Tamandua tetradactyla: one gene and its partners. The protein of the gene in region 2 purifies or fractionates together with the protein of the main gene of each other region. This does not show direct contact. Links are inferred from orthologs where the notes say so. Each region holds a gene or a part of one and is shown on either strand. Other genes may lie near its edges.

Evidence for each region.
Region 1: the proteins of CAPN1 (region 2) and CAPNS1 purify together in Homo sapiens (co-immunoprecipitation; 4 studies listed by BioGRID and IntAct, counting the BioPlex papers as one, with this or other methods). This does not show direct contact. The link is inferred for Tamandua tetradactyla from reciprocal best matches to the Homo sapiens genes CAPN1 and CAPNS1.
Region 3: the proteins of CAPN1 (region 2) and CAST purify together in Homo sapiens (co-immunoprecipitation; 4 studies listed by BioGRID and IntAct, counting the BioPlex papers as one, with this or other methods). This does not show direct contact. The link is inferred for Tamandua tetradactyla from reciprocal best matches to the Homo sapiens genes CAPN1 and CAST.

What each region holds. Positions count from the first base shown.
Region 1 is NC_135342.1:29,811,277-29,818,722, forward strand, and holds the start of CAPNS1 (calpain small subunit 1), read right to left. Parts: upstream 3,074-7,446; 5' UTR 2,941-3,073; intron 2,587-2,940; 5' UTR 2,392-2,586; intron 2,132-2,391; 5' UTR 2,115-2,131; coding exon 1,915-2,114; intron 1,165-1,914; exon of another isoform or gene 1,114-1,164; coding exon of another isoform or gene 1,067-1,113; intron 898-1,066; coding exon 864-897; intron 575-863; coding exon 485-574; intron 326-484; coding exon 268-325; intron 181-267; coding exon 116-180; intron 1-115. UniProt on the Homo sapiens protein: Regulatory subunit of the calcium-regulated non-lysosomal thiol-protease which catalyzes limited proteolysis of substrates involved in cytoskeletal remodeling and signal transduction. Essential for embryonic development.
Region 2 is NC_135335.1:9,388,005-9,395,505, reverse strand, and holds the start of CAPN1 (calpain-1 catalytic subunit), read left to right. Parts: upstream 1-4,494; 5' UTR 4,495-4,557; intron 4,558-4,794; exon of another isoform or gene 4,795-5,090; intron 5,091-5,765; 5' UTR 5,766-5,766; coding exon 5,767-6,033; intron 6,034-6,185; coding exon 6,186-6,255; intron 6,256-6,538; coding exon 6,539-6,657; intron 6,658-7,501. UniProt on the Homo sapiens protein: Calcium-regulated non-lysosomal thiol-protease which catalyzes limited proteolysis of substrates involved in cytoskeletal remodeling and signal transduction. Proteolytically cleaves CTBP1 at 'Asn-375', 'Gly-387' and 'His-409'.
Region 3 is NC_135347.1:34,426,876-34,434,083, forward strand, and holds the start of CAST (calpastatin), read right to left. Parts: upstream 3,074-7,208; 5' UTR 2,931-3,073; coding exon 2,844-2,930; intron 2,609-2,843; exon of another isoform or gene 2,594-2,608; coding exon of another isoform or gene 2,519-2,593; intron 1,981-2,518; exon of another isoform or gene 1,865-1,980; coding exon of another isoform or gene 1,835-1,864; intron 1-1,834.

The sequences.
Region 1 (7,446 bases), on a different chromosome or scaffold from region 2:
TGTGTGTCCTCATGTATACTTGTCCATGTTTCTGCTATATACTGGCTGTCCCAGTCACATGCTCAGAAATCTCCCTCTTCACCCAGGGCCTCCCTCTGACTGCCCCCAAGGATACATCCATAACGGCCACCATGCTGCGACACGTGTCAATACCAAAACCATCAGTCTTCAGATCAGGGTCTAGGAGAGAACAGGTTAAAGGTCAGTGGCCATAGATCACAGCCCCTTCTGCCCCTATGCCTAAACTTGCACTATGTATTCACTCACGTCGTGTCACGACCTTGTTGAGAATGTTCATTAGTTCAGTAGCACTGACCTCCATGTCCTGCAGGGAGAAGTTATGGGTGGGTCAGAGATGGCTGGAAGGAGTGGGCTGGTTCTGAAGGAGGATGGGAACTTTGGGATTATCATGGTATGTGTATGCAAGGCAATTCAAAGGAAGGCTGTGAAAGGCTGGGACTGAGCTGGGGTCTCAGTTACTTACATCTCCAGCCAGCTGGGCAAACAACCTCCGGAACTGTCGCACCTCCTCGCTCTCATTGGCCTCAATGTTGGAATAATGGGTGCGTGGGGGCTGCAAATGGAGAATATCTCAGAGCAAGCAGGGAGAAGGGTACCCCAGCCAGGAGAGCTCCCCACACCCAAGTGCCCTAAGTGGAGGTCAGAGTGGAGTGGGTGACTGAGTGAACAAAAAAAGGGGGCCCCTGTCGCATGGCTAATATCCACAGCTAAGTCAGGGGACTTGGCAAGGTAGGGACTTAATGGGAGAGGGATTTCATAAGAGGGAAAGGGGTTGGGGCTTCTCCAAAGGGACAAGGATGGTTCTGGAAAAGGCCGTGAAGGAGGAAGGGAGAGAGGCTCACCGGGGGCTCCGGGTTGTATTGCGCAGCCGCCTCACTGTGAAGAGACACTGGGAGTTAGTACCAAGGGGCGGGGCTTCCAACGGGCATCCCCAGCAGAACTGCCACGACCAGCCCCCCACAACTCCCAAACTCCCAGCCCACCATCCTTGCTACAGGGTTCCTCCCCACTCCCACCTCCAAGCCTCATCTGTCATTATCCTGACCTGTTCCTATCCTTGCTGCCCTGGTCAAGTCCCTCCTCTCCCTCCATCAGGCCAACTCCATCCGCGAGGAAACCCACGCACGGGCCGCCCTCGCGGCAGGTTCCACTACCTTCAGGGCATACCTACCCAATGGCAGATTCCAGAATCATTCTGGCCCCACCCATTCCCAGCCCACAATCTCGCTCAACCTCAAAAGACCTGCCCCTCCAAGAACTCGCTTCTTAGAGGATATGCCTACCTTTCCTGGGCCTGTCTCCTCTTCTTAAATTCCATTTGCCCAGGACCCACCCCCCACCTGAATGCCTGTCTTTCTAACATCCCGCCCCAACTCCATTAGGCCCCACCCTTTCAGTGGCCAAGGCCCCAAGCGACAAGTGACCTACTCCTAAGCACAGGATTTTTCTCCCTTAATTGAGTCAGTTCCTAGCTAGGCCCTACACCTTCAAGGCCCATTTCCTCTCTCCCATTAGGTCTTAGCCTTTCTTAGGCTCACCTCCTCATTAACCTAAGACAACCAGGCCGTGCCCACTTCAAGACCCAGCCCATGGAGTGACATACTCCTGCAGCCAATGATGGCTCTTCCCCCTCCATACTTCTCTCTAGGTAAGCCCATGCTTGGCCGTGCCAAGTCTTCCATCTTTCCCAGAGACCGGCGGGTTCCGTCAGGTTAAGTCCCTCTTGGGCCAACATCACTATTGACCCCCACGGCAAAACCACGCCCACGTCAAGCCCGCCCCCAAAACGGGCCTCAGCCCCGCCCCCAAGGCCCACCTCCCTGCTTAAGCCCGGCCCAGTCTGAGGGTTACGATTCTCTTGTTGGGCCCGCACCCCGCCAGGCCCCGCCTTACCTGATGGCGCTAATGACCCCGCCCAGGATACGCATGGCTGTTCCGCCGCCGCCGCCGCCGCCACCTCCTCCTCCGCCGCCGCCGCCGCCGCCGCCGGCCCCGCTGATCAGGCCTCCGAGCACATTCCCCAGGCCTCCGCCCAGGCCCCCGCCGCCGCCGCCGCCACCACCGCCCTTCAAGAACGAGTTAACCAGGAACATGGCCGCGACTCGGACTCCTGAGGAGAGAAAGCGTTAGGTGGCTGCCTCGCCCCTGAACTCCTCCCTCCCCCCAAAGGACACATTTTCGTGAGCGCTGAGGAGGAATCTGAGGCCTCCGGGTGGGTGCCAATCCTCCGGCTGGGGCTGAGGGATTCGGCCAGGATGAAGTCTGTGCTTGCGGAGGAGGTAGCCCTCGGATGTGTGGGATAGGGACGGAGGATCAGACTTGAATCCTCCTCGGTTCTAAAGGGTCCCTGTCGGGTTTGAGTCCACGCACAGTTATCATTAAGGGTAGGGGTCCAGATCGGGAGGTTTGTCCAGACGCGAGGCCCAAATTGGTGTAAGGCGTCTCCGACGTGTGTGGGCGCTCGAATCTGAGATCCAGGAACGCCAGAATTGGAACGTGGGAGTCTTCGGAGGATCAGGGGCGCAGATCTAGGATCATCGTCCCTGGAGCAGACTTGAGGGAGTCCTGAACGAGGAAGTGAGGGTCTGGGATCTCCGTGCGGTGAGATTACAGTCGCATCGCTAGGTCTGTGGCCTGAGGCCTGAGGTCGTGGTTGTGATCCCCAAGGCCCACGATAACAGGGTCCCCACTGGAACTGGGGGCGCGCATCTAGGGTCGTGGTTCTAGAGGCCCCAGGACAGAATTTACGGGGTGCCTGCAATCTGTAAACTCGCATCTTAGATCACGATACGAGGGAACCCCGGGACCAAGATAACGGGGGCCGTCCAGGTCTAGGGATCCCTGAGGCCAAAACTATAGGATCTCGTAGGCTCTGGGGGCCGCCGGGGGTGGGTGGAGGGGTCCGCGCCGAATGCTCACCGCCTAGCTGATAAGTCCGTCGATCTGGCGGCCCGTTTGTCTGCTCCTCCCGGCCTCCCGCTGTGTCCGGCTCCGGAGGGCGTGGCCGGTGACTCAGGCTGCAGTGCCCGGGTCAGGCACAGTGACGCGGCCCAACGGGCATCCGCTGGGGTCCTAGAGCCGACTTGTGCGTATGCGCCTGCGCACACGGGCCTCGAGACATATGGGGCGTGAACACTGCGGCCCCACCCTTGGGTGGGCAAGTTCCAAACCCGCCCCAATCTAAAGGGGTTTGAGGGCTTTCCCCACAACCTACAACCCCGGGCGCTTTCACGGGGACAGGAAATTCGAGGTGCCCTAGGCAATCTCGGAGAAACCCCCACCCGAGGTTCCTCTTCACCCAGCTGCGGATGCGGCTTTCGGGACGCTGGAAAAGATAGCACATGACCCCTATACAGGTCTTGTCGCTACGAGCAGCATCAGGAGGCCCCGAGTTTTGTTTCCGAGATCAAGCGTACTCATCTGTGTTAGGCATTGAGGCTAGGCTAGTCTTCCCGTTCCCTATGGCAGCCAGATCGCGGTCAAACTGTAGGTGGGATTTCCCCCACCTGGGAACGCATCCTTGCTTCTCCTCCACCTGCTTCCAACCCCGAGTCAGGCGTAATGTTTCCTGGCCGGGCCCAACATCTCGCCTCAATCTTCCAATCTAAAGAAGGCCCCGGACATAGGAAGGAGTCTCTGTTCTCTGGTCCCAGCTTGGCCAGATGTTACCGAGGTCCCAGGGTGGATAGGATACAGGGGGAGAAAGCGGTGTAACTGAGAGGAAAAATCACGACTGCAGCCGCCTTTGGAGGCCTTTCACTTGCTCTCTGTTTCCATCCTCCAATCAGTGTGCGCCAGGTACTTCCTCGGGGCTCTTCAAGGCTTCTCAGAGGGAGCTAAGTCTGGCATGGCAGTCTGGCTGTCGCACCCTAAGCCCCTCCCCTGGAGGATGATGGCTAGGCCTGAGTTTGAATCCTAGCTCTGTCCCTTAATATCTGTGCCACCCCAAGAGAGTGACCTGCAATCTCTAAGCAGCAATTGTTTCATCTGTAAAATAGGAACATGGGTCTTACCTCCATTAGCCCCCTATTAGAATTAAGTGATAAATTCTTAGTAAATGGTAGTTATTAAATGCCTCTGTGCCTGTGCCCTCCCATGCTGTCTCCTACCCCTGCCAGCTCACTCTTATTCCTCCTTAAATAACACTGATAAAAATAGCTGCTAGGCACCTTCCTAAGTACTTTACCTAATTTGTCCTCACAACAACGCTGTGGATGGATACTACTTTCTCCCTTTTATACATAGATAAACTGACTCCTAAACCTAGACAGCCAGGCTCCCTAGCCTGGGCCCTTAACCACTACCCTAATGCACTGAGTCTCCAGTCATATAATTAATATAATAACTCAAATAACAAAATCACAACAGACAATACCACATCCTGAGTTCATGCTTCCTGAGGGCCTCCTGGGCCAGGACAGGGCAACTGCCTACACAAGCCTTGTCTCTAAGGCAGAAACTAACAAGAGAGAAAATGGAGGCTCTGAGAGGCCTCAGGTCACAGAGGGTGGAAGAACCAGGCCTGAACCTGGGCTTGGTTGAGGCCGTATCTTTTGAGGGTGACTAATCTGGATTCCCTTGTCACCACACCCCTCCCTGCCACTCATAGTTTCAACCAAGCTGAACAGCTTCAGCGGCCTGTCCTCTCCCTGGGCTCACTTGCTGCCAGGGCTTTGTGTAGGCTGTGCCCTCTATCTGGAACACTCCTACCGCCTTTTTTTTTTTTTTTTTTGGCCTGGCTTTGTAGCTACTCAGACTTTGGGTGTCAGCTCAGGAGTGGCCTCTTCCAGGAAACCCTCCCTAACCCCCCACTACTCCCACCCAAAACTAGCTGAGGCTTCCAGTTATATGCTCTGAAAATTACTTGTACTTTCTCATGACATTCACAGCCCATTATAATCATGTTGTGGTCTAGGTCTGTATCCTGGAGCTCCTAATTCTGGTCAGTCCCAGGACTTGGTCCTCCTCTGCCACACATGCTGCGTGAGCCTCGCCCATACCATGCTTTAAATTTCATCTCTAGGCTGTCAACACCCAAATATCTTCAGCCCAGAGAGCCCCTGAGCTCCAGGTTCCTTGTATCCTCCTATAGTCTGCCTTCCACTCACCATCTCCATGAGGGAAGGGGAGGGATCTTAGAGGTATCTCAAATTCCACACATCCCAAACTGCTCCTCCCCCACCTCTGCAAGTGGTAGCCCTGTCCTTCCAGTGACTGAAGCCAAACACCCCAGTGTTGTCCTTAAACCCTCTTTCCTTCACACCCACTCCAACTTGTCAGCAAACCTTGTTGACTCCACCTACAGAATCTAAACTCCTCCCCTCCACTGCCCCACATAGGTCCTGCCTCCTTCCTCTCCCACAGCAGCCTCTTCCTGCCATCCCTGCCCCCCACAGTCTTCTCCCCACCTGCAGCCAGAGGGACCCTGTGAACACCTGGGTCAGATCAGGCCCCTCATGGCTGAGCCCCGCCCTCCTCCCCTGGCTGCCCTTCACTATAGGCAAGAATCAAAGTCCTCACTAAGGCCCTGGTGATCTGGTCCTACCATCTCTCTGCTCTTCTCCTCCATGAGAAAGAGAGAAAAGGCCCTACTGGCAGCTCAACCTGGATGGTCCCACCTGAGCACTCAAGACAAGGACACACAGCAGCATCCAGACAGTCCCCCTCTACATACATGAGGGCTGCTTCTCCATTGCCAAGGCTAGTTTCCAGCCCCACCTTAGTCCCTTACTTCTTAGTGCCTCACATCAAGTGATCAGGAAGGTCCTCTGGGATCCTCAATTTAAACCCCCTGCTCCTATCACTTATCACCTCTTAGCATATTGCATACTCATTCCGTTTGTCTCTTTCCCCCACTACAAACAGCCTCCAGAGAGTAGGGATTTGTCTAGTTTGCTGCTATGTACCCAGTACCTAGAACAGTGCCTGGCCCATATTAGGCATTCAATAAGCACTTGTTCATGATGAATGAAATGTTTTACATGGATTTTGTCATTCAGTTTTCAGCGTCATCAGTGAGATAGTCCAGCAAGCATTACTAATGCCTCCCGAACTTTTGCATGCTCCTTTAAACTTCAGCAGGGTTGGATGACTTGCATTGTGAAAGGAGAGCTGGAGCACTGAGTGTGGCACTTTCCAGGTGGGAGCATTTAAAAGCTCAATGCAACTGTGTGTGTGAGATGGGGTATAAAGAAACTCTGTACTTTCTGCATGATTTTTCTGCAAACCTACAATTTATTTAAAAAATAAAAATCACAACACTGACCATTATTAAAAAAAAAAAAAAAAAAAGCCAGTGGAGGATGCTCCATGCTCTCTCTCTCTCCCCTGCCCTGGCAACAGTGGAGATGGTCACCCACTGTCACCCAGCCTGCAGCAAACTGTATGAGCAAGAACTAACATTTTTGAGGTATTAGTCCACCAAGCTCTAGGGCTCATTTGTTACCACAGCATAACCTAGCCTATTTTGACTGGTGCATGTAGATGTTATGATCGGGCCCAGAAAGAAACCAAGGTCCAGGGTGGGGGTAGTCAAGATTTGAACTCAGGGAGTCTGGCTTTGTAGGTTACACTTTTATTGCTCATAATGTGCTGCCTCAGTGATATTAGCACCAATAATACACTCAGTCATAACTACCCTAGCTAACCATCTCCCCAGGGCTTGATGGAACTAGGTTAGGATAACAGTCTTACCGGCATATCTTGCCAAGGCATCTCACCACCCTATGAAAAAGGAAATAACTAGAGGAAGCGCAAGTTCAGAGAGGCTAGTCACTTGCCTGAGGCACCACAGGATTTGGCAGAGTCTGAGAGCTTGGTTGATGCCAAGTTGTTACATAATGACTAATTTGGATTCCTGTCCCTCTGTTCCCCTCCCTGCAGCTGGCATAAGCCACTTCCCTTCCCTCTCCTCACCATGCTGTTTTGCTGCCAGGTTTTTGCATAGGCTCTGCCTCTGCAGGAACACCCTTTTCACCCTTTTTGCCTTGGAGTCACTGTACAGATATCACCTTACCAAGGAAAACTTTCTCAACCTCCCTCAGCCCAGACTAGAGTCCCACTCTGATTGCTGCACCTCCACTCTCTGCTCTGGCCCACGTATGGCTCTTGATATTTCCCAAAGATAGGTTTTGTGTTTCCCGCCTTGTAAAGTGTCACCTGACCTAAATAAATAAATAAAATAATGAATTACAATCTATAACATTTGATGATATCTGTCTTCCCCTCTGAATTGGGAGCCCTGGTCAGGTGAGGGGATGCTTTCTCAGGGACAACTGTGTCCCCAGCATTACCCAACCCAGTGCTAGGTAATAGATGGAGGACGTGACACTAATTTAGCTGTTAGCATCATCATCATCATTTTCTGTGCAATTGTACCAATCCAACTCCCTCACCAGAATGAAAACTCTTTGAGAGTCAGTGGAT
Region 2 (7,501 bases):
GTTTTGGATTTTAGCCATTCTGATGCGCACATAGTAGTATCTGTTTTCACGTGTGATTCCTTAATAAAATGATGATGACCATTTTTTTCATACGCTTCTCAGCCATCTGTGTATCTTCTTTGGTCTAAAAAGTATTTTTAATTTGTTTCTTGAGGAGGTAATATATACGCACATACATTTAGAATTTTGAACCAAGAGTCACAATCTTGCCCCTGACTCCCTGCCACCTGATTCCCTTCCCTGGCAGCAATGAAAGCAATACTTTATGTCCTTGCAGAGAATCTAAACATACGTAACCAAATGTGCATTTATGCTCCACACACTCTTTTTTATTAAGATGAAATGAATCGCTTTAAAATGAACAATTCAGTGTCATCTAGTATATTCATTATGTTTTGAAACCACCACCTTTATCTAGTTCCAAAATAATTTTCATAATTCCATATCCATTGAACAATCACTTCCCACAGCCCCTGGCAACCACCAACCTGCTTTGTCTCTATGGATTTGCCTGTTCTGGAAATTTCATGTAAACGGAATCATACAATATGTGACCTTTTGTGTCTGCCTCCTTTCTCTTAGCATAATATTTTTTAAGGTCATCCATGTAACATACCAGCGTTCATTGCTTTATTTTTATGGCTGAATAATACTCCATTTATATGCTGGTATTGCAATTTTTTAATCCATTTATCTGCTGATAGACATTAAGGTATTTCCCATTTTGGGGTCCTTGTTTTTTGCCCATTTCTCCCTTGTTTTTGGTTTCTCATTGATACTTAAGGTGGGGAACTAGCCATTCAAGGTGTAAACTGTAAATATTTTCTTCAGTTTATAATTTTGGCTTTTCAAAATGGATTTTTAGACATAGTTAAAAAACTTTTTTTTTAATGGCTTCTGGATGTTGCATCATAGTTTAAAAGACTTTTCCCACACAAAATGATTTTCTCAAAACCTCCCTTAGTGCCTGGCTTTACTTTTGATTTTTAATGTCTACCTTTAAATTTTGGATTCATCTGGAGTTTATTCCAGGTTGTAGATTATGGATCCGACTATATTTCCCAGATTGCTCCTACCCATTTCATAATACCTTTTTATTGAATAATTCCTCTTTCCTCAACAGATATGAAATGATACATTTAGCATATACTAAATTCCTGTGTGCATTTAGATCTAATTCTAGGTTTTTCTGTCTTCCACTGATCTATGTGTACTAGGATTACTTTTTAGTTATTACATTTTAACTATTATAACTTTGCCATGTTTAAATATCTGGTAGGGTTAGTCTCTGTTCATTGCTCTTTGTTTTCATAAGCATCCTGACTTTTTGCTTATTTATTTCTCCATATGAACTTTAAATCAACTTTCCCACCCCCCAATCACCACCAAAAAAAATAAACAACCAAAAACTTGTTAGGTTTTTTTTTTTTGGCACGGGTAGGCACTGGGAATCGAACCCGGGTCTTGTGCATGGCAGGCAAGAACTCTGACACTGTGCCACCAGCGCCCACCCTAGGCTTTTTAATTGTGATGAACTCAGACTAATTTAGGGAGAATTGACACCTTTAGACGGCAAATCCCTACCGAGAACAAGGGTTCCTTGGTACCCATAATGTGTTTGTGCACTCACCTGTTGATGGACAGTTGCTGGACAGATAACTGCAGGTTATCTCTGAGTGTCACATGAGTTCATCCATTCTCCCCAAGTATGTCACTCAGAGGTCCTGAGGGTAACCCCCAAACCTGAACTTCCACTCTACCCCTAGCTTAGTGAGTGCACCTTCTCATGAATCCACAATGGGGATCAAGTCAGGTTAAGGGTCTGGGAGCCCTTGATTCCTCCCTTTCTCCCAAGAGCTATATCCTATCAGTGATTAAATCCTCTCGGCATTTTTAACAGCTTTATCCAGGTGAATCTGACATCCAATAAACTGTATGTATATAAAGTGAGCTATTTTAGTTTTGACATATATATATATACTCATGAAACCATAACCATAATCAAGTCCATGAACGTATGATCACCTCCAAAAGTTTTTTCGGGCCCTTTTGTCCACCGTGTCCTGCCTGCCACCCCTCGGGCAACCACTGATCTGCTTTCTGTCACTAGATTAGTGTCCATTTTCTAGAATTTTCATATAAACAGAATTACATAGTTATGTGTTCGCTTGTCTGGCTTCTTACACTCAGCACACTTATTCTGAGCTGCATCCATTTTGTTCTTTTTTTATCACTCAGTAGTATTTCATTGTATGGACATACCACAATTTGTGTATCCCTTCATTCTCTCATTGGTGGACATTTGGCTGTTTCCAACTTGGGGCTATTACAATGAAAGCTGCTACGAACATTTGCTGCAAGTCTGTATGTGGACATAGGCTTTCATTTCTCTTGGGTAAATACCCAGGAGTGGAGTGGCTGGGTCACATGGTAGGCGTATACTTAACTTTTTAAGAAACTGCCAAACTGTCTTCCAAAGTGATTGTACCATTTTACATTCCCACTAGCAGTGGATGGGAGTTCTATTTTCTGCATATCCTTGCCAATATTTGGCATGGTTGGTAATTCTTTTAGTCATTCTAGTAGGTATACAGTGGCATCTCTTAGTGGTTTTAACTTACATTCTTCTAATGAGTAATGTGTCAACCAGATTTTTATGTGCTTATTATGCCATTCATATATCTTCTTGAGTGAACTGTCTTGTCCGTATCCTTTGCCCATTTTTTATTGGACTGTTTGTCTTTTTAAGTTGCAAGACTTCTTTATGTATTCTAGATACAAAGTCCATCAGATAAATTTTGGCAATTATTTTCCCTTAGTCTATGGCTTGCCACTTCATTTTCCAATTAGTGTCTTTTGAAGAAAAACGGTGTTTTACTTTGAAGTTCAATTTATTAACTTTTTTTTTCTTTTATAGTTTGTGCTTCTTTGTGGCATATTTAAGAAATCCTTCCCAAACCCACCCAAGGTCACTAAGACTTTCCCCTATGTTTTCTTCCAGAAGTTTTTTTTCAGGTTTTACCATTAAACCTGTGATCGTTTGAATTCATTTTTGCTATTCTGTATTCTGGATAGTTAACTAATCCACCTATCTCTCTCTACTGTGTCTCCCACCACCCTACCTTCCATCATCCCTTGCTACCATTATCTCTTCCTGGACAACTAACTGCAGCAGTCTTTTATCTGGATTCTTTGCTTTGTGTCTTGTCCTTTCCAAACCACTCCTCCTGCAGCCTCCTCCTCCCTTTGTACAGATCTAATCACATCAGCTTCCTGCCTCACTAAGCTCTATGGTGAAGGAAGGGATGGAGTCAAGTTAGCAGAAGAGATGGAAGGGTTGTGAAGGTGACTGTCCGACACGGGGGGTTGAGCCAGAGGGCTTTGAGGGGAAAGGTGGTCTTTGGCACTCTGCAGTCACATCTTCCCTCTCCCCTGCTCCCTTTGATCCAGCCACAAGGGACATCCTTACAGGGTGTGTTCTCCTAGCCTTTGGATTTTTGTCCTCACAGTCTTTCTGCTTACAACACTGTCTCCAGCACCTTCTTGCCTGGTTAACTCCTACTTAGCCATGAAGAATCAGGTTTTTTAATCCCCAAAACTGGGCCAGGAGGGAGCCTGCCCCTGCAGTGGCTGGTTCACCTTGGTCGCAGGTCCGTGCAGAAAGGGTTTTGTCAAGGTTGGCTGCATAAACGCTGAGTGGAGAAGGGCACAGAGCCCAGAGCCGTTCTGGTCCCGGCTTAACCAGGTGAGGGAGCTCAGGCAAGCCACGCCCCTCCCGGGCCTCAGTTTCCCCAATCTGTAAACTCGGTTTAGATCCGTGGCTCTTAACCTTTTGGGGGTCTTGGATCTGACAATCCCGAAAAGGCTATGGTCTGTTCCCCAGCCAAATGCTTGTGTGCACGTCCTAGGAGCTGCGGGGCTGGGGTCCCCAGGGCCGGTGCGAAGCCGTGGGCTGCGGGAAGTTGCAGCCTGCCAACTCCTCGCCTTCCCACCCCAGTCCTCCCGGTCTCCCGCTGCTTCCTGCAGCTCGGGCGCCGGGGTCTCCGGGTCCTCAGCGCGCCTGCAGTCTGGCTCGCAGCCTCCGCCGCCCCCTCCCGGGTAAGGCGGCCCGTGGGCGCTCCCTGGTGGGCGGGCAGAGGGCGTGGGGGAGTGGGCGGGGAAGCCCCCCGACCACCCTCCCGCCGCGACTCCGACTTCCCCGATTCAAGAAACCCCAGCGCGCCGGAGAACGACAGCTTCCCCTAGCGGCTCATCGCCAGCCGGCGCGCGGCGGGAACCGGGGACCCCGCGCACAGAGGCGCGGGGACTTACCCAAGGTCGCGCCGCGAGCCCCGGTTCGGCCGCCTGCAGCCGCCGAGGCGCGGCGGCGGCGGCAACCCCGGGCCTGCGCCCCAGGGCGCGGGGGTGGGGTGGGGGGCGGGGTGAGGGTGGGGGCGGGGAGCCGGGGTGCGGCGCGGCCCGGGCGGGGTGGGGCTGCGGCTGCCGAGTGTCCGGCCGGGTCCCCGCGCCGCTCGCCGCACGCCCGGGCCCCGCCGCCAGCGGCTGCAGCAGCGCCAGGTAATCTCGGCCCCGCGCTGGGGCGGCGGGCGGCGGGAGGCCGTGGCGGTCCCCCCGGGGGGCCCGCGTGTCGCGGCGCGCTGGCCCGGGAACGCCCGCCGGGCCCTGCAACTCGAGCCGCGGCCCCTGGTTAAAAATACCCGCGGCCCTGCCCAGCCGCCCTCCTCCCCCGCCGTGCCCTCGGCCCCGGCCCCGCGCTGGCCCCTCCCCGGGGACAACTGTGCCTTTGGCTAATTTGTCCTCTCGCGGAGCTGGACCCGGGCCTGCGGAGGGAGCGAGGGGCGGGGAGACGCCGTGGGCCCGAGAGATAGTCGGAGAGCGCGTGGGAGAGATAAGGGAGGGCGGGGAGGAAGCGGGGCCGAGCCCCCGGAGCCGCCGGAGGAGGAGAGAGGGCGGGCGGAGGGGCGCGCGAGGAGGGCGGGGAGGAGCGCTCTTCCTGGTTGGGCCCGGCCCTGAGCAGCCACCGGGGAAGCCCGCCGCAGGGACCGCCGCCACCCCCCACCCCCTGCCCAAGCAGCCGTCCCTGCCCCCAGGTAAGGCCGGCCGGGGTGCCCTGATCCCGGCCACGGCGCCCCGGGGCTGCCCCCGCTCGGCGCGGCCGCGACCCTCCGGGTGCTGGGGAGCGGCCCCAGCCTGAGCTCACCATTGTGGCCAGGGGCTGGGCCGGGGCGGGGCTGGAGGAGGAGGGGCTGGGGGTCCAGCCCGCCTTGATGGCCCGGTCAGTCTCGGGGGGCCTGGGGAGCGGGGTCCTTGTCTGCCCGCTGTTCTCAGCCTGCAGCCCAGAGCTGGGAACTTGTTGGGTCTGGGATTGGCAAATCGGTTGGAAGAGGCCTTCCCTGGGGTCCCCGCCTTCTCTGTTCCTTCTGTTATCACGGGATCCACCCTGTCCAACCTGGGGGCGGGGAGGGGAGGCTGCAGGCCCAGGACTATAGTTTGGGAAGGGAGAGGTGGTGGGTATTCAGTGTGAGGGGGGGCAGGGTGGTGATGGCCTGGACACCCAGGGGCGGGGCAGGGGGGCTCTCCTGGGTGCTGGGAGCAGAGGGAGGGGGCACTGCGAGCCCCTCAGGTTCTGCAAGGGGAACTGCAGTGTGGCCAGGGAACCCCAGGTTTGGAGAGGAACGGCGGGGTGGGGGGCCGTGAAGAGGGGCAGGCACCCCAGTCCTCGCCCAGGGAAGGCCTGGGCTCTGAGCCAGCCATCGGTCCCGCAGGATGGCCGAGGAGTTCATCACTCCGGTGTACTGCACGGGGGTGTCCGCACAAGTGCAGAAGCTGCGGGCCAAGGGGCTGGGTCTGGGCCGCCACGAGAATGCTATCAAGTACATGGGCCAGGACTATGAGCAGCTGCGGGCGCAGTGCCTGCAGAGCGGGTCCCTCTTCCGGGACGAGGCCTTCCCCCCAGCGCCCCAGAGTCTGGGCTTCAAAGACCTGGGCCCCAATTCCTCCAAGACCTATGGCATCAAGTGGAAGCGCCCCACGGTGAGAGAGGGGCCACCCCGGGTGGGGCTGGCCGACCCCTTCCCCCTCCTCCCAATTTTGGGTGAGGAGGTGGGACAGGATGGTGGGGCGTGGGGGTCTGGGGTGGCTGGGGGCCGGTTTCCAGGAGGGACAGGACTCTGGGTCTCTCGCAGGAGCTCCTCTCAAACCCCCAGTTCATTGTGGACGGAGCCACACGCACAGACATCTGCCAGGGAGCACTGGGTAGGCCCCGGGGGACTCTGGGTGTTTTTTTTTTTTGGTCTTGTGAGTTCCCTAGTCCCGTTCCTTCCTGCAGCGGGATCTGCCCCTACTCCGCCCTCCTGCAAGCCGAGGCAGGCTCTGCCAATCAGGGCTGGGGCTGGTTTGCCTAGATTCCTGGGTAAGCTGAGGGGAGCCCAGGGCACACCACCTGGGGAGCCCCACCTGTTCCCCAGTATGGCACCTGTATGCACTGTCAGAGCAGGCTCCGGGGAGTGGACCTGATGTGGGCCCCCTCCCATGCCAGGGGACTGTTGGCTGCTGGCCGCCATTGCCTCCCTCACCCTCAACGACACCCTACTGCACCGGGTGGTCCCACATGGCCAGAGCTTCCAGGATGGCTACGCCGGCATCTTCCACTTCCAGGTGAGGCACCTGCACAGGTACAGGGCGCGTTGGCGTGGGGGAGTATTGGCGAGGAGGGATGCAGGGATGCACTGCTGTCCGAGGTCAGGGCAGCCGCAGGCACACCCTGCGGGGGCCAGCCCCTCCCCTGGAAGGTATTTGACCTCTCTTTGCCGTCTCAGGTCTGTCATGTGTGACACGGTCAGGCAGGTATTGCTGCTGGCGGGTTTCCAGGGTGTATTGGGGAGAAGGTGTTTGGAAGGAAAGAAAGAGCTCTGCTGTATATCCTGCAGGGCAGATCCTTCTCCTTCCCTGGGCGTCACTTTCCCCATCTAAAAATAAAGGGGCATTCTAGAGGGTAAAACAGACCAGTACCTGCAGCTGTCTCCCCTCTGAGCACCTCCTTCACTTTGGCAAACTCGAGCCTCTGACTGCGCCCCGCTAAAAAGAAAGACTTGGGATGAAGTCTGTTGAAACCAGCTTTTCCTGACCTTGTTTGCTCCCTGAGCCCATTTTTCAGGTCAGGCGAATTAATTTGCAATGAGCTGGGGTTGGCAGAGACACACCCTGGCAACCTAAAGGCCAGACCCTCTGCCCTGGGGGCCCCAGCCCTGTCCTGGGGGTTCCTGGGTGTTCTCTCCTTTTCATGTGGGACCCCCTTGTCCCACACCACCCACACCGGTCCTGCAGGACCCAAGGTTCAAGCCATGTGGCTGCACCTGTCCAGTTCATAGGGATGTGCCCCCCCACTTCCCTCCTTCCCTCCTGCCCCTGGGTCTCCCCTCCACCTGCTCCAGCTCCCGCCCCCTCCCCTTCCCTCAGCCTTCGGTACCCTGGGTCCTGACTGGACAGGCCCTTTCTCCCA
Region 3 (7,208 bases), on a different chromosome or scaffold from region 2:
AATGGTCTGTGTTCAACCTCCCTCCCCAAAAGTTTAAGAACCCATGATGTAGAGCTGTATGGTCCAATACTATAGCCACCTGTGGCTATGAGCACGTGAAATGTGCAAGTCCAAGCTGAGCTGTGCTCTAAATGTAAAATCAACCTGGAATTTGAAAAATTAATATGAAAAAAGAATGTAAAATATCTCAACAATTTCGACATTGATTACCTGTTGAAATAATGTTTGGAATATAATGGGCCAAATAAAATAAAATATTAGTATAGTTCAGCTGTTTTTCTTTGCTTTTGTTAATTGTTACTAGAACATTTTAAACTATATATGTAGCTCACACCATATTTCTATTGTACAGCACCAGTCTGGGAAATGTCAGCGCGTGGCATGCTGTGGATTCTAGGAAATTCCTATTAGCAAAATGTTTTCATAATCATCCCAAAATTGGATTCTAAGACAGAGGTTTTAGCAAAAATGTCAATGTGTAAGCTTAAAACATAGGCTTAACTATTTTCATCCAAGTAGCCCAGCTAGTTTCCTTCAGCGAATCACAAATTTGGAAGATGTGGATGTCAACTCTTACCACTGCCCATCCGTATTTGCAGATGATTCATGTGGTACATTTTGATAAGAATCTTAGGACAAAAACAGGTCATTCAAAGCAAGCTTTCACTGTTAAGTACATCAATAAGATGCTACATTAGAATCACCTAGGAAATGTAATGGAAAACATCCTTGAAGAAATATCTCAAGGGAAATGGGAATTTCAGATCATTAAGTGTATGTCCGGCACTTTGATTCATGAATCTAATTAGTCTTTACCAACCCTTGTGGTGTGTATTATCAACCCCATTTTACAGATGTGGAAACAGGTTCAAAAGGCTGCCCTTCGAGAATAAAATCTGTTTTTTTCTCCACTGTGTATCTGGAAGCTATACAAGTGCCTGCCACCTGTCCACAATGGCCATTGACTTATAAATGGCAGTTTCCTGATTCTAATAGAAGGTTTTCTTGCTCCAAAGAATGTCTAGTTATAACCTTGCTTTTCCCAAACCCTATGCTAAGAGATGCACCTATTTAATTTTTTTTGGAAATTCCGACCATAAATCAATGGAACATAAATATTCCAACCCTGTCAACAAAACTTTGGGATATCTTTTTTGGAAAGCAACCTCTGTTAAATCATACTTCCTGGTTCCAGATCACTACAAGTGTCAGCTTGATTAATTGATACAACATTCAATGCACTACACAAATGGAACATCTTTGTCCCGTCTCCAAAGTAACCAAGTGCAAAGCATTCCCCCCGCCTCTCCCACCCCCCACCCCCCACGCCAAAAGAATCTTGATCTCGGCTACTTTTGCTCTTTGGGGTTTCGTGTTTTCTCCTTGCCCTAAATCAGGCTGCCTCGACTCCTTTGAATTGGAAAATGCATGCCTAACAACCTTCCTCTGAAAAAACTGAACCTAACTTGGGGGTTAAAAACAAACCCCCAGCTCTTGTGGGCTGCGCGCAAGTTTGTCCAAGTATCCGTGTCCGGGGGCGGAATTCCTCCAGCTCCAATTCCTGTTCCATTCAACTTGTGAGCAGGAGCTGAGCTTGGTGCATCTGCTCGCACCGAACCGCACGCCCGGGCTCGCTCGCACTCACATACCTGAGAAGGGTGAGTCTCCGGGCCTCTCAGGCAGCCTAACCCCAAGGTCTGCGAGGAGGTCGCGCCGGGTTCCCACCCTTTCCCGGCCAAGCCCGGACAATACCTCGTCCTCACGCCCCGTAGGACAAACCAAAGTACACACACTCCCTTCCCGTTCCTGCCCAGACAAGATCGCTCCCATTTACCGTCTTATACCACCAGCTTGCGAACGCCATGGTAACAACTGGTTCGCTTCTGAGCCGCGCGGTGCAGTACCCCGCGAGGGCACCCGGAGCGCTGCGGGGGGCGCGGAGCTCACACTCCTTTGGTGCGGGACCAGGCTGACAGCGAGTTCAGCTGGTCGGGTAGTAACCAGGTGGGCGTGCACAGGGGGCGGGGCCCGACGCAGACCCCGCCCCCGGCAAGCCGGCCCCACCCCGGCCGTTTTGGCTCAGGGCAGGTCCCCGAGAAGAGTTACTTCTCCAGGCAGCCACGCCCTGCAGCCAGGATTTGACGCGGAAGAGAGAATTCCCCCAGCCAGTTAAACAACCCCGACCACTCCGGGGGGTCCCGAATGAAGTTTATTGTCTTCACATCGCCATCCTCATTTTACTCCTGTCTCAACAGCCAACTTTTCCCGGCGCTGGCACTGCTTCTCGCCCCGCGCCACACCCATGACACCTGATCTAGGCCCAGACACCTCTGACCACCTTCGGGCGCCCGTGCGGCGGCGGGCGCTGAGCGCCGAGCCCTTCCCCTGCCCGGAAGGGGGCGCACGGGGCTCCAGGCCCGGCAGGCCCGGCACCGCCCCTGGGGAGGCAGCCCACGGCTCGGGGACGCGGGGCCTCCCCAGCGCCCCACTCCCCGACTCCGGCAGGAACGCCACTCACCTCCTGGGCGCCGCGAGCCGCCGCAGCGCGCCGGGGCCGCGGGGAGGCGGCGGGCTTCTGGCCCGGCTGGGACATGGCGAGGCCGCGGCGGGCGCTGCCACCGGGACCCGGCAGCGGCAACTGGGAGGCCCGGGTGGGGAGCGCTGGGGGGAAGGCGCGGAGCCAGGGCCCGGGAACGCGCCCGCGAGGCAGCTTTTCCGACCCGGCCGCGAGCCCGCGGGGGGGCTCGCCCTCGCCAGGCAGGGCCCTCCCCTTCCTGCCGGCGGGTGGCTGCGGCCCGCGCGCTCGGGGCACACGCCTAGCACCCTCTGCCCTGCGTCCTCACCCGCGACCCTCCCTCCACTGCAGGACTGTATGGTTCTCCTTGAGTCAGAGAGAGGAAGGGTTGGAGGTCGCGGGGTCCCGCCTTCATCGTGCCAAACTTCTGTGGGAGTTGTGCAATGGGAGAGTCGGGCCGGGGCGTGGCCGGTCTACGCCTCAATCCTTCCTCCTAAGAATCTCGAGAATTGGACAACTTGTCGGCAATCTGCCCGGCTTCAGCTGAGAGAAAATCTACTAAGGCAAATCTGGCTCACGCCTGGACTGTCTAAATAGGGAAGTGGATAACAAAAACAAACTTGCGTGTGTGCGCGTGCGCCTGTATATATTGTGTCATTTTACTTTGTTCTGGCAGACTAGGAAAGTTTAGTAATGTTTCGTGGGGAGTAGTTCGTAGGTTCCATCCCCAGGTTGGAGAACAGTCCCCAACTTCAATGTACCCTGTAGCCTTTCTGGAGTCTGGCGGGGTTTGTTTCTGAGGCTGGACCACTTTTGGCTTTGGCTCTTCTTGAAAAGCACTTCCTGGTTTGGGGCTGGAAGCGAAATTTAGCAAGTCCGAGTTGAAAAGTAAACGTTCATCTGGAGAGATTGCCAGCTTGCTGTCGCCGCTAGTTGGTGATCGCACCCGGCAGAAAAACCTGCTTTTCTCTGCAATGGCGTTGCAACTTTGGGTCTCTGGGCACCCCTCTCTGGAGTGGAGAGAGTTGAAGAGGGAGAGGCTAGATTATGAGGAAAGATTTGCCATGCTGTATGGAACTTGTCAGATATGAATTCTTGCATAGCCCCCTACTCCCTCATTTCTAGGAATACTGAGTTCTCGCTCCTCAGTTAAGGAGAGGCTAGCATCTTAACGGGGATGCTTTAAATGCATTTCCTCTTAAAGGGACCAGCTTACTATGTGTGTGTTTCCAATAAAACAGGCTGTAGTGCAGGAATTTATTCATGAAAACAAAATAACTTGAAAAGGGGGGATGTGATTGTTCAGGAATAACTGATTGCATCAATTGTATTCAGATTGGGGAAAATGTCATATCTGAAAGTTTAAAGAAAGCTTTTGTGATTGTGACCGAAATCACTACAGTAATTTAAATAACTAGAAAAATGACATGGATGAGGTAACAGGCATGTATCTTTTCTCTGTAATTGGGACCATTTCCTTACTAGGGAGCCTAGATGTCCTATATTCAAATTTTAGATCCTTGAAGTACATTATTCTGACTCTGGTTAGAACAGTTCCCATTGACTTCATGGCATTATCTTCCAACAGAGCATTTTAAATGGACTTTAAATAGTTGGTTTTTTTTTCTTGAGAGCCTTCCATGTAATGCATTATGATATAAAGATTAAAATACACACACACACACACACACACACCCTCCAGGAACTTAAGTTTAGTGGAATGATAACAGCATTTGTAACACATGATCATTTGGATGACTCCCAAAGAGATTTATTTTGTGAATAAGTACAAATGTGCTTTGGAGGTTTGGGGATCCATGGATTTTGCTAATTATAGGAAGGGAAAGAAAGGCTTGAGTGGGCTGGCAGAATACTGGGATGTGAACAGGAGAAGAGGTGGGGCTGTTCAGGGATAAAGAGGAATCCACTACCTGGCCAGAGCTGAGGGACCTGCTCAATCTTGTTTATCATCCTATTTTTTACTGAGCAGCTGCACTGTACTAAGTGATGCAGTAGGTACCAAAGGCTGTAAAAGATGCTGACCCTGCCCTTTAGAATTTGCTTAAGGGTTTGAACTAATATAAGCAGGACATCGATGGGCTAAGCACTATGAGTAAAGAGGTTTTTCAAAGAAGTTTAAGAGGAAAGTGATGTTTTCACTTTCTCTTGTAATCAGTGAGGAGTTATTAGAACTTTAATACCATGACCAGAATTTTGGCGACCTTGAGAAGTGCTTTTCAGTAATATATGGCGTCTTTTATTACATCATTATGTGCACATATTGTAAACATTTATTCCTTTATTTACTCCACGACTGGATGCCTGAAATGTGTTATCTAGGGACCTCCCACACTCAACGACCTTGCAGTTCAGTAGGAAAGACAGTGAAGTAAATCCACAATGATATGACTCTAGGGATAAGGGCAAGAGCAGTCAGGCTTTAGGGACTTCTCACTCAGACGGAGGGGTGGGTGACTTGGGGAAAGGGGCTGCTTCCTCCCTCCATGTCTTGACCCAAATGAGTTGAAGCCCCTTCCTAGTAATCCCCACATTTTATCTCCTCCTCTTCACTCCCACTGCCCCTGCACCTATTCAGGAGCTCATTATTCCTCATTAGAAAACATGTATAAAATGAAGGAAAAAAAAGGCAAAATGGAGTCCAGAGGAGGAGGCGCCAGTGGCTCCTGAGAAGGAGCAGGCAGGGGGGCTGCAGGAAGCTAGGAATGAAGTGGTCTGAGGCTAAGGAAGGAAAGCAGGTAAGAGTGAGGGATAGTCACTGAAAGCTTGAGTCAGATCATGTGTGAAGAGTGTATATTCAACCTGGTAACCTAGGCAGTGGGTTATACTGAGAAGAAAGCAAAATTTCTTCTGAGGTACCCACAGGTTTTGATTGTTTATTTGTTTGTTATTAGCTATTGAGAAAAGTTTAATAATGTTTTAATAATATCCCCCCCCCCCCAATTTGGGAGGAATTTCTTTTCACACCACCGCACAACTGGATGGGAAGCTACCCCCAGAAAAAGCTGGACCTTCTGGCTGATATTCAAGTGCCCTCCGATCCCACTGAAAGTTACTGTCCCATCTGCCATCTCCTCTCAGCCAAGTTTACTGCCTTCCTTAGTTTCATTTTCCTAAGTAAAAAAGAAGATAAATCTTGAAAATAGGAAAAGGATAGAAGACTCATCTGTTGCATTATCCAAAGAATGGCTTCAGTGGTAAAAATGTTGTGCATGTAGGAGAGGAAGATGTGTTAGCCAGTTGGAGAATATGTTTAGAACACAGGAGCCTTTGTCTTTCTTTTCAGATCACACTGGGTTGTGCATGGATGGCGGATACAGGGAGGGGAAAGAATGGAGATGAAGGATTGAGGGACAGAGGAAGAAGAGAGAAAAAAAGAGAGAGAGAATAGCATATGACATGATTGTTAATTTCCATGGCTACCAAGCAAGAGCTTGAGTCACACACATATCTATAGCCAGGTTTGCTTCTCATCGCTTATGACCGTCTTCCCTCCTGATAGTATGTCACTTGCCAAGTGCTTTCAGGCCTTGATCTTCAACATGGCAAAATTTCCCACTTGGCTCTGTGGACCAAAGAGGGCTGAGATCCTATTTCTTCATCAGAGGTTTGTTAGGAAGTACCCTGGAAAGGGAAAGGAAGGAATGGGTAAAGGGAGAAGCTGAACAGGGATGCAGATCCAACAGAGACTTAGGACAACTCTGCAGGGTGTTATGATGCTGGGATCACCTTCAGAGTTCGTCTCCAGGATGGGGAGTGAGGCCTGGGTCTTTATATCCCTGCATCAGTCATGGGATGTGGTTGATGCTGGAAGGGGGAGTGACCTTAGGACAGGTAACTGTTAAACTGTGGCAGTTCCCAGAGGAGGCTGACAGAGGAGGGCTGTTTGCTGGATGCACTACCAGCAGCTGGGGTAAGGAGTCCTTTATTCCTGAGGGGAACTGTGTGGCTTGTCACATCTATGACACTCCTCAATGTTCTATAATACCATAAAACTTTGCATATAGAATGGAAAAGGGAATAAATATTACAAAAGCATGCTGTCAAATTGATATGTAACAGAACATTCGGTTTGAGAATTTTACTCATTTAATTAAATTTCTTCTCCTTTCACAATGGCATTTGCCTTCAAGAGGAGTCACTGAAGAATAATTTGTGCAGCCATGCTGTTAATAATATCTGGATACAAAGAAACGATGACTTTACAACTGGAGATTGCTAAGAATGGTTAGAAATAAAGGGGAAATAAAATATTCATGTTTTTTTTCCTATGATATTGAAAATAAAAAAAGACTGCCTTTATAGATCTGACATCAGGCAAGGAGGTATACAATATCCCCTGCTTGCCTTTCGAGAGCTGTCCAGCCATCTTTTGCTCTCCCTGCTACTTTTCCTGGAGTTTACAGGTTTTCATCCTGCAGGGCATGAGGTTGTAAAAAGAGATGTGCTCCCAGAGTAAATGTGCTGTTAGAATCAGTTCTCAGTGCAGGCCCACCTACTAACTAGTGATTTGTGCAGCATCCCTGCTCATTGTCACAGCCCTTCACACCCGCGAGGATGCAGTGTGAACCTCCCAGGGCCTACAGGACCTGACCTCAGCAGCCTTGCACAGGTGTGGTGCTGTATTCTGGCCACACCCGCCTGATTTCAGTTCCTGGAACATGCTGGGTCTCTC